Linked DNA regions of Schizosaccharomyces pombe. The protein of the gene in region 1 interacts with the protein of each later gene in a pairwise test. Each region holds a gene or a part of one and is shown in the gene's direction. Other genes may lie near its edges.

Evidence for each region.
Region 2: the proteins of cyp1 (region 1) and prp45 interact in a two-hybrid assay, tested with the Schizosaccharomyces pombe proteins (2 studies listed by BioGRID).

The regions. Positions count from the first base shown.
Region 1 is NC_003424.3:1,364,666-1,371,330, forward strand, and holds cyp1 (cyclophilin family peptidyl-prolyl cis-trans isomerase Cyp1), read left to right. Parts: upstream 1-3,494; 5' UTR 3,495-3,545; coding exon 3,546-3,575; exon of another isoform or gene 3,576-3,615; coding exon 3,616-3,657; exon of another isoform or gene 3,658-3,722; coding exon 3,723-3,776; intron 3,777-3,846; exon of another isoform or gene 3,847-3,980; coding exon 3,981-4,060; exon of another isoform or gene 4,061-4,142; coding exon 4,143-4,239; exon of another isoform or gene 4,240-4,279; coding exon 4,280-4,444; 3' UTR 4,445-4,909; downstream 4,910-6,665. Other genes in the region: serine/threonine protein kinase Cdr2, read left to right, coding at 181-2,508; mug10 (Rho guanine nucleotide exchange factor), read left to right, coding at 5,514-5,729, 5,793-6,611.
Region 2 is NC_003421.2:1,500,937-1,505,164, forward strand, and holds prp45 (Prp19 complex subunit Prp45), read left to right. Parts: upstream 1-1,706; 5' UTR 1,707-1,755; coding exon 1,756-1,784; exon of another isoform or gene 1,785-1,827; coding exon 1,828-3,379; intron 3,380-3,427; coding exon 3,428-3,520; 3' UTR 3,521-3,728; downstream 3,729-4,228. Other genes in the region: SPOM_SPCC188.14 (uncharacterized protein), read right to left, coding at 35-274; septin Spn6, read left to right, coding at 4,005-4,063, 4,126-4,228. UniProt on the Schizosaccharomyces pombe protein: Involved in pre-mRNA splicing.

The DNA.
Region 1 (6,665 bases):
AAATGTTAAAATCAATTTCACATATATATTTTGTTGTAATTAAATGCACTCAAATACTATAGCTTACAAGTTTAGGGAGCATTACGGAGAACATCCCACATATGCTGTTCTATGAATGGGGTTTGGATTTGGCCATCACCACTTCACCGATTTACTGGTTCTTTTGAATAGTTGAAGTGTATGAGTACAATTTCAGAAGTTGGACCTTGGGAGCTTGGTCTTTCCTTAGGATCAGGAGGACCAAATTCATCACGTTTAGCCAAACATCGTGAAACTGGGCAATTAGCCGTAGTAAAACCGATTGTAGGATGGTCCGAGCTTACTTCGAGCCAACAGGCTAGGATAGAGGGTGAATTAGTTTTGCTTCGATTGATCGAGCATCCTAATGTTTTGCAGCTCATAGATGTGATTTCAGCCCAGGAGCAACTCTTTGTCGTAGTCGAATATATGCCAGGTGGTGAGCTTTTTGACTGCATGCTTCGTAAAGGAAGTTTTACTGAGCAAGATACGGCAAAGTTTCTATGGCAGATTTTGTGTGGATTGGAGTATTGTCATAAACTTCATATCTGCCACCGGGATTTAAAGCCAGAGAACTTATACTTGGATGCCCATGGTTCTATCAAAATCGGTGAATTCGGTATGGCGTCTATTCAACAGCCAGGAAAGCTTTTGCAGACTTCCTGCGGGTCTCCCCATTACGCATCCCCAGAAATTATTATGGGGCGTTCATATGATGGTTGTGCTAGCGATATTTGGTCATGTGGAATTATATTTTTTGCTTTGTTAACAGGGAAATTACCGTTTGATGATGACAACATTCGTTCTTTGTTGCTAAAAGTCTGTCAGGGTCAATTTGAAATGCCATCAAATATCTCTCCTCAAGCCCAACATCTGTTGTACCGCATGCTTGATGTTGATTCATCTACTCGAATTACCATGGAACAAATTCGTGAACACCCGTTTCTTAGTTGCTTTGTTCATCCCAATATTTCTATTCCAATCATATCAGCCCCTATACAACCCATTGATCCATTAATAGTGCAGCATCTCTCTTTAGTTTTCAGATGTTCCGATGATCCTATGCCCTTGTATGAAAAATTGGCATCTCAATCACCCTTGGTTGAAAAAACTCTATATACTCTACTGAGCAGACACTTGCATCCGCCTTCCAGCGCTGCAGTTGATCGCAACCGCGCTGTGGTCGATGATCTCCTTGGTACAGCAGCATCCAACGGGCAGCAAATGGACGAGGAAGAAATTGAACAAGCTATCAATATTCCTACTTTAGCGCCTTATCCAATTTCTTATGCTGCAGAGTCTGTTCCTCGACCTGCTACTTCTGCATCGCCATTTCTTACACCTGTTACCACTTCTGGCACTTTTAATTACTCTTTTAATGCTACCAACCCCCAATCCATACTTCAACGACCAGCCACTACATCTTCTGCTGTTCCTCAACTCCCAAAATCAGTTACCCCAGGACTTGCATATCCCCACGATAGTTCAATGCTGTCATCAAATTACCGACCTCCTTCTGCATTATCTCCTCGCAACTTTAACGTTTCTATAAACGATCCGGAAGTTCAACTAAGTCGTCGCGCTACTTCACTGGATATGTCAAATGATTTTCGTATGAATGAGAATGACCCTAGTATTGTTGGTAATTTAGCAGCTTCCAATTTCCCGACAGGTATGGGACCTCCAAGAAAGCGTGTCACTTCTAGAATGTCCGAACACACTGGTAATCGAGTCGTAAGCTTCCCGCGCGGCAGTGCTTTTAATCCAAGAGTTACTCGCTTCAACGTAGGAAATGAACAATTCTCTAATAATATTGATAATAATAACTATAATCAACCATACGCAAATGCAACCATGAACAACTCTCGTCGTCTTCGTACCCCTAGTGGGGAGAGATCAATGCGTGCTGATCTCTCTCAATCACCAGCCTCTTATGATTCGTTGAATGTTCCCAAACATAGAAGAAGACAATCGTTATTCTCTCCTTCTTCTACAAAGAAAAAGCTTTCCGGCTCACCTTTTCAACCAAAACGATCATTTTTAAGGAGATTATTTAGTAGTGAGCCTTCTTGTAAATGCGTCTATGCCAGCTTGGTTGCTTCAGAATTGGAACATGAAATTTTAGAAGTTCTTAGAAGATGGCAGCTTCTTGGTATCGGCATTGCTGATATTATATATGATTCTGTGAGTGCTTCGATATCTGCTCGTATTAAACGACAAAATTCACTTAATCTTAAACCGGTTCGGTTTAGAATATCGGTACTGGCTGAGTTTTTTGGTTCACAAGCTGTCTTTGTGTTGGAAAGCGGTTCTTCTACAACTTTTGACCATTTGGCTACAGAATTCCAGCTGATTTTTGAAGATAAGGGGTTTTTGGATAATTTGGAACTCTCTTATTTTCAAGCTTCGGCATCCAGACCTGTTTCTCGAATGAGTGTAAGTAGTAGTCCTTTTGCTGTATTTCGTCAACGACAATCCGTCCAAAGTTAAATTCTTTTATTATTATTATTATCATTTTTTTTTGATTCTCCAAAACCTTTGCAAACTTCATTTTTCTCGTGATGCTTTGGAAAAAAAAGGATTATCAAAAAAGCTAATCGTTTGATAATTGAACATAATGTATACTCGTGGAAGTATTGGAACTTTTTGAATTAAGCTTTCATTTTGTCCCATATTGGAACTCTTTTTATACACCAACAATATCTTTATAGACCTCCATTCTTTTTCTGATGTTTTTCTTTTACTTGTTCAACTTGCTATATGGAACCACGGTTATCCGGGAAGCAATAAATGCATTTAATGATTAAATTATATTTTGCTGCTCTGCTACAATGTTTCTCTTGGAACCTGTTGAGTTTTGTACATGTGATGTTGTACTTGGAACTTACTCCAATGATAATAACTTGCATGTCTGAAGCAAGGTAATTTTTGTATTTAGTATGACCGGCTATTGCTGGCATCTTTTTTGAAATACATTTTTCTTATTTAATTTAGGTATAAAATTTTTTATCTTAATCAATCTTTTCTTTTGGCTTTCTAACTCTTCGTTCTAAATCACAATCTTTTTAGTCTCGTTTATTTCAATCGATTTGACTTTTTCTTCATCTTATTTATCACAATCAACTAGCACTAGCGGATACAATTTCAATGAACTGCAGCATAGGTCGTATTATGTTTAGAAATTTATGACCCTTCTGCTTGTTCTGTATAAATTAAATTTATTCCAATTAAGTATTTGGTCGCTCAATGCTAATTAGTATGATATTAAATTTGAGTGGAATTCAATATGTAACCTGCTTACTTCGATAGTTGAAGAAATACATTTGAAGTTGTAGGATATCTAGGTTATCTGCATTGTACAAAGAGTCTGTTTTTTTGGAATGAAGTACGTGACATATTATTAAGCACTTTTAAAATTGTCTGTGCAATTGCCTTTTCAGTATTTTTAGCGAGGTTGCAACTTCAACTTATTACTTGAACAAGCAGCGAAAAACTGCAAGAAAATCGTGTAAAAACTAGTAAATACCATGGCTAATGTAGAGTTACAAACAAGTTTGGTAAGATCTTTTCCAAGCTCAAGCATTTAACATTTTTTAGGGAAAAATTCTTATTGAATTGTATACAGAACATGCTCCTAAAGTACGCATCAAGAATAAAGGACGAACAGTGTTGTTTGCTTTGAAAGTAGAATCGCTAACTTATAGACATGTCAAAATTTCTATACTTTAGCAAAAGAAGGATACTATGATGGTGTTATTGTAAGTTTTTTTCGCACTGTTTGCATCGTGCAAATAAGCATGTTGAAATATGAGTCTACAATTTAATATTTCAAGTGTGTTATTTTATTGATTTAACTGTTCACATTTACATGATGGACTCAGTCAGTCATATAAATATGTGTCCTATAATTCATTCAATATCGTATTTGATTTAATTCGTGAAATTGGTACTAATTAAATTAGTTTCACAGAGTTATTCCAGACTTTGTAATTCAAGGAGGGGATCCCACAGGTACAGGTCGAGGTGGAACTTCTATATATGGGTAGGCAAAGCTTTATAAATCGGCATTCACCGATTGTTTGCATCTTTATTACGAAGTTTTCACATTCTTATTAATTGATTAGGGATAAATTTGACGATGAGATTCATTCCGATTTACATCACACTGGAGCTGGCATTTTATCAATGGCCAATGCTGGACCTAACACAAATTCATCACAGGTATGATGACTTTGTTTACACTAACTTTAACCATCTTCAGTTTTTTATCACTCTAGCACCTACTCCTTGGTTAGACGGAAAACATACAATTTTTGGTCGTGTTGTTAGCGGGCTTTCTGTGTGCAAGCGTATGGGTCTTATCCGAACGGATTCATCTGACCGCCCAATTGAACCTTTAAAAATCATTAAAGCTGTTGCACTTTAAATTATTCTTTAAAGGATATTCAAAGGTTTTAATCTATAAGTCTTTTTTCGATTTTTCAACACATCCTGAAGATATTGACTAAAGTTATTTGTCACGGATATTAAAAGCTAAATTAATAGTTGATAAAGAGAAGCATTTCCTTACAAAAGGTGGACTTTTTAATTGAAGTCAAATTTTACAAGTCAAGTGGAATAACATAAGCTTCTAAGAAGGAATTAACTAGTTTTCTAGCTTAAGAAATTGGAGATGGATTTTGTTACGCATATCAACCTAGTTGTTTGACCATAAACGATTGAACAAAAACCTTTTACAACGTTAGCATTGCTTCCGGTACTTTTCTCCTTATCAAAAATTTTACAATTGTATTTTTTTCTTAATTAGAAGATTAAAGCTCGGGCCAAATATACAACTACAAGAGTTTATTGGACTAGATTACTCAAATACTATTGCTTCAGTTTTTTTGTTACAACGTGGGATGTTATTTTAAAAAAAATTCAGAATCAAAATAAAGTCCAATGCATAAAAACGGCATGAATCCTTCTCTTTTTTATTTAATTCTTCTTTTAATTGTTTACGCCAATTTGTGTGATCCATAATTAGCAAATTATTTTACGTGTTTTAACGTATTACGTTATAATTGTAATTAAGCAAATAAATGATATTTGTCAATTGAAGGTTCGAATGTAGTGGTCACGGAATACTCACAAGCATGATAATAATGTTTTTTAAGGTCCTAATATATCTAATTGACCTTTCACAGCTAGACATATCAACATATGACCAAAACTTAGCTTCATTCCTCAAGCGGGAAACATTCATTAACTGAAATTGTCCATGAGAAAGACTTTTTCTATTGAAAGATAAGTTTGAAAAGGCTACAAACTTTAAATACTTTTAATAAAGTAATTTTATTAACTAACTATTCCTTTGCTTACTTATAGATTTAAGATACTAAGCCACAGTTACGCAAAATTGGATAATGAACTTTAGTGACATAGGTTTTACACTGAGTAGTTGACTTTGGAGCGTGTTATTTACATGCAATTTCCTAACACGTTTCGCCTGGAGCATGGCACTTTTAAAAACGATGCCAATCATAAGGTCTCTAACGCGTGGAAAATCGATTAGATTACTTCAAAAACAATCAACGAAAAGAACTAATCCGTGCGTCTATTTAGAAGCAAAAGCTGTTGAACAAACACCGGCTACTGAGTTTAACAGTATACTTCAGGAAATAATTTCGACAGAATACAATTACTCTGTTGATTTAAAGAAAACATTAAATGTAACGATTACTATAGCAAATATTATGCTCGTGTTTACTAGTTTGTGATTACTTACATTTTAGGAAATTATAATGCCAATCGAAGGCCAAAGTATGGAAAGGGAGGCGATTGGAATTTGCACGTGCTTTAAGACTTTAAATCAGTTACACACGAAGTTATATCAACAAATGATTTCCAGTGGCTCTCCAGTATATTCATTGTCGCAATCTTTACCCGCTTTTCGTGATGTTTACCACATGTATACCATCAATTTAAGTGGAATATCTGCCATTGAAAAAATAATTTCTGATCCTTCTTCGTGCAACAGTCAGCTTTTAATTCCATTGCAACACTTGTTGAGATATCCTATACATTTAGCACGTGTTTGTAAAATGTTACGGAAATATCCATTTTTGAATGGAGATTTTCGGATGGCGGTCAAAACACTTGACGATTTTCGAGAGTTATGTTCTTATATAGACCAAGAAAAAGCCCGCGAGGAAAGTTATCAAGTACTTAGTGCACTGTGTGGAAACCAGGGTGTTGCGGTGGACATTCCAAGGCATATAAAATTTAAAGGGTCAGTTATTCCAGCTACTTCATTTATTTATGATTTTAATGCCTGCGTCTTTTGCGACGATGGATTGGTTGTTTGGACGAGGTATGTTAAAAAAATCGAAATGAAGGCCGTTTCGATAGAACAATGTCTTCGAGTAGATGAACTTTCAAACTCTATTTTAGTTTGTACTTTAAATATGAAGGGGAAGCTTTTAAACCGTCATTTGGCACCTCAAACTATGGCTGCTTCTGTTTTTCTTAAGTGGTATCATGAAAGAGCTGGTATCTCAAATGGCAAAGAAAATAAATTAAACCGATTGAAAGTTGTCAATGCTAAAACATAAACTAATTTCTTTCTTTTTCTTTTTTTAATATTAAACGATATTTTTTTTCTATTA
Region 2 (4,228 bases), on another chromosome or scaffold:
GCTCTCTATATGACAACTTTAACCGTGAGAGCAGTCAAAGTACGTTTCTTCTACGAGTGTTTCTTATTGAAAGTATAAAGTATTCTGGGTAAACAGCAAACTGTGGGATGAATAACCAGCATCGTGAAAGTGGCCAGTTTGGGGAGTTTTTCATAAACTTAGCGTATATGCCGGTAACCATGTTATAAACAGGCACATTACTTGACGGGAAATCGTTCCACGAGTCCCCAAGTGAAAGAAATGTAAATATAATAAGCGAAATTGTCGTGGGCATCAGTACTATACAAAAGTTGAGGTTTTAGCTCAGACAACTTTTTACCTACTAAACCAAACCTGGTTATGAGCAACAGACCCTTATTATAACATTAGCAATCAACAACAAAAATTTTTATAGTATTGATTTTTGATATCTTGCGTTCGTTCCGCTTTATCGGAAAGACTTTGGCAATTTTACCGATTCTCTAGAATCATGTAAAGTGACGAAAACAGAAGGCAGAAAGTCCAACCAAATATGGGCAAAAAAAACAACCACTTCAATAAATTGTTCCAGTTAACAGCAGTTTAGTTGTGTTCAAGTCAATTACCAGCGTTTCGCGTGAAACGTTACAGAAGTGTAAATAATGAAATACTGTTGCTTTCTCTTTGACTCTCATTCTTACACAAGGTCACTTTGCATAGTAGACCGTTGAAAAAGTAAAAAGGAATAGAGGAGAAAACAAGATTTGATTAATTTTTAACCACACCCAACGTATCCGCAAAATCTCATTGATTCAGTAACATTGACTATATGGTTCTTTCGGTAAGTTTGACTCGTTATTAAATAAAAAAAATAGAGGCAAATTGTTTGAATTATGTTTGCTATCAAATGATATCCATTGAGTTAAAAAGTACGCGATTTGATAGTCTCATGAAGACACACATAAAGAGAGAAAAATCCATCAACTCCACTTAAATTTAAAAAAAGGTGAGGTACATATAGAAACTTTAGTACAATTCGTATTGATCGCCTAAATCAATATTTTTGAAGTATTGAAAGTTCAAACATGCCTTACAGCTCATTTCTCATTACTTTGTAAGGTAGCTGGCTAATGACAACTATATATAGGCATTGAGCCATAAGTATGCTAACTTTCACTATTCATCGCTTGGCAAATCTTTTTCTTTATTAAATGTATCTCCTATAAACGTGGCACTACTTTTTTGAAAGTTATAAAGCACGTTGGGAGCTAATTTCAACTTTATAAACTTCGCAAAAAGTGAAAGAAAACACAAAGGTATAGATAGTTACAAGCCGCATTGCTAAGTTGATCTGATAATTCTTAACATCTAACGTAATCGAGTGTGTCGGAATAGTATTTATGAAAACTGTGAGATATCCCACTGAAAATGATTTATGTTGTCAAAAGCATCGTTAATACACTTAAGAATTACGCATTTCCTCGTGTGCCTTATTCGCAATAATTCTACTGTGTTGCTCACACTAATGCTAACAAGTACGGAATCCTAACTTAGGTGACCTAGCGTAATACTAGCTTCATTTACCAGTTGTTGTAATGCGTGCATTGATTTTCTTTCATACATTCTTGCAAGTAAATTTCCAAGTAATTTGAGGATTTATTTATTAAATTATTTCTCAAAGCTGCGAGAGCTTTTGGATTCATTCGAACAGAATTCATATGTCCATTATATCCATACAACTCGTACTCAACACCACTTCACACATCTGAGTGGAAAGTTGTTTATTATTTTCCAAAAATGGCCCTTTTATCCGAAGAACTTTCTAGGTAAACTTATATTTTTTTCTCAAATTCACTAACAACGCCGCAGTATACTTCCAAATCCTGATTTCGACGATGAAGAGGAAGATTATGTGGAGAGGGAAACATCACATGCAGATGAAAGACAAATTGGTGTCAAATTTCACATTCCTCCCTATGGACAAAGAAAGGGATGGTTTCCTTCTTCACCTGAAGACTTTGGCGATGGTGGAGCTTTTCCCGAAATCCATGTAGCACAATATCCTTTGGATATGGGCAGAAAAAGGTCAGCTAAATCTGCTGGTAATACATTGGCTCTACAGGTCACTTCTTCGGGCGCTGTTGACTATAATGCCATTGCTCGACAAGGTCACGAACATGGAGAGTTGGTACAGGCAAGCTTTCGAGATTTGATCCCCTTACGTGCACGACTAGGTGTGGGAGAAATTTCGTTAGAGAAACCGTCTGACGAGCAAAAGCAAGAAGTAGCGAATAAAACTAAGCTTGCCTTACAAAAAATACTTTCCAAACAAATCGCTCAGTCTCAACCTAAAAGTGCTGTGGTACAACAACGTGACGATCCTGTATACATTCGATATACTCCTAGCAATCAAATGGGACAAGCACTTAGCAAACAGAGGATTATCAAAATGGTCACAGCTGAACAGGATCCCATGGAACCACCAAAATTCCGTCACAAAAAGGTTCCTCGTGGACCACCTTCTCCTCCTCCTCCCGTCTTGCATTCTCCTCCACGAAAAGTTTCTGCTCAAGAACAACAAGATTGGCAAATACCTCCGAGTATTTCTAATTGGAAAAATCCGAAAGGCTACACTATTCCATTGGATAAGCGGCTGGCCGCTGATGGTCGTGGTCTTAATGATGTTGAAATCAACGATGGATTTGCCAAATTTTCTGAAGCATTGTACACGGTGGAGCGTCAAGCTCGTGAAGAGGTCCGATATCGTGCCATAATGCGCCAAAAGATGGCTGAAAAGGAAAAGCAGGAAAAGGAGCAACGTTTATTTATGCTTGCTCAAAAAGCAAGGGAAGATCGTATGGGTAGAAATGCGGCTTCTTCGGGTCCTTCACATGCAAAACCCCGCTCTACTTCTGTCTCCTCTGAAGAAAGAAGTCGTTCCAGAGCTGGATCGTTCTCGCATCATTCAGAGTCAGAAAATGAAGATGAGGATTCAGAAGCTTTTCGCCGTCGTCAAGAACTTCGCCGCGAGCGAAGACGCCAAGCTGAAAAGGATCTTCGTCTCAGTCGAATGGGTGCTGAAAAACGTGCTAAGCTTGCTGAAAAAGATCGACCTCGTGATGTCGCTGAAAGGGTTGCTTTAGGACTTTCAAAACCATCAATGTCAAGCGATACAATGATCGATAGTAGATTATTTAATCAGGCTTCTGGCTTAGGATCCGGATTTCAAGACGAAGACAGTTACAATGTGTATGATAAACCGTGGCGGGCGGCACCTTCATCAACGTTATATAGACCGGGTGCTACTTTGTCCCGTCAAGTTGATGCATCTGCAGAATTGGAACGTATTACTAGTGAAAGTCGTTATGATGTACTAGGAAATGCGCATAAAAAGTTCAAAGGATCGGATGAAGTCGTAGAGGTATGTTTCAATATCTTATACTTTTACTTAAATACTAACTTTTCTTAGTCTCGTGCTGGCCCCGTCACTTTCGAGAAAGATATTGCTGATCCTTTTGGTGTAGATACTTTTTTGAATAATGTTTCTTCAAAGAAAACTTAATTCTATTCGATCCTTGACACTGTCAAAGAAAATGTACATTATTGTATGGTTTTATTCATTGGAATATGACTGTCTTAAAAATAAAAAAAAGTACAATTTACGTTTTGTGTTTTTTTTGGATCAAGGCAGTTAATTCAACAGAAGTTCATATTTAGTCTTAAAAATTAATGTTTATTCTTCTAATGATTAAAGAGCTAGTAAATTTGAGCATCGTTTTTATTTGTATTCTTGTTTCAACTCTGGTAAACCAGGATTATGAAAGTATTTTGGTACAAGATGTGAAAAAGAATTAAAAGTCTTCTATGTAGATAATTTAATTTGTATATTTAAAAATTTTTGATGAGGCATATTTATTTATTTATCTGTGCTTTTTATCACTGGACATTCGGTTGTTTGTTTATATTTCGCTGATAAACGCTGTTTGAAACAAACCTGAACCTACTAAAGAGCAAAATACAGATAGTTCGAGAAATAAATTTTTACGATGTCTTTGACTGAAAACCTTCAATTATTATTAAATTTGGATAGTCTACCATCCAAAAGGTATGTTATCGTTACAATCTAGTCATAAATTCATAAATCATTCATTAACAAATATACCACAGAGAAAATTTAATAAAAAGAAAAGAATGTGGTTTAACAATCATGCTTTGCGGAGCCTCAGGTACTGGAAAAACAACGTTCTTCAATACTCTTTTTGCTACTTCT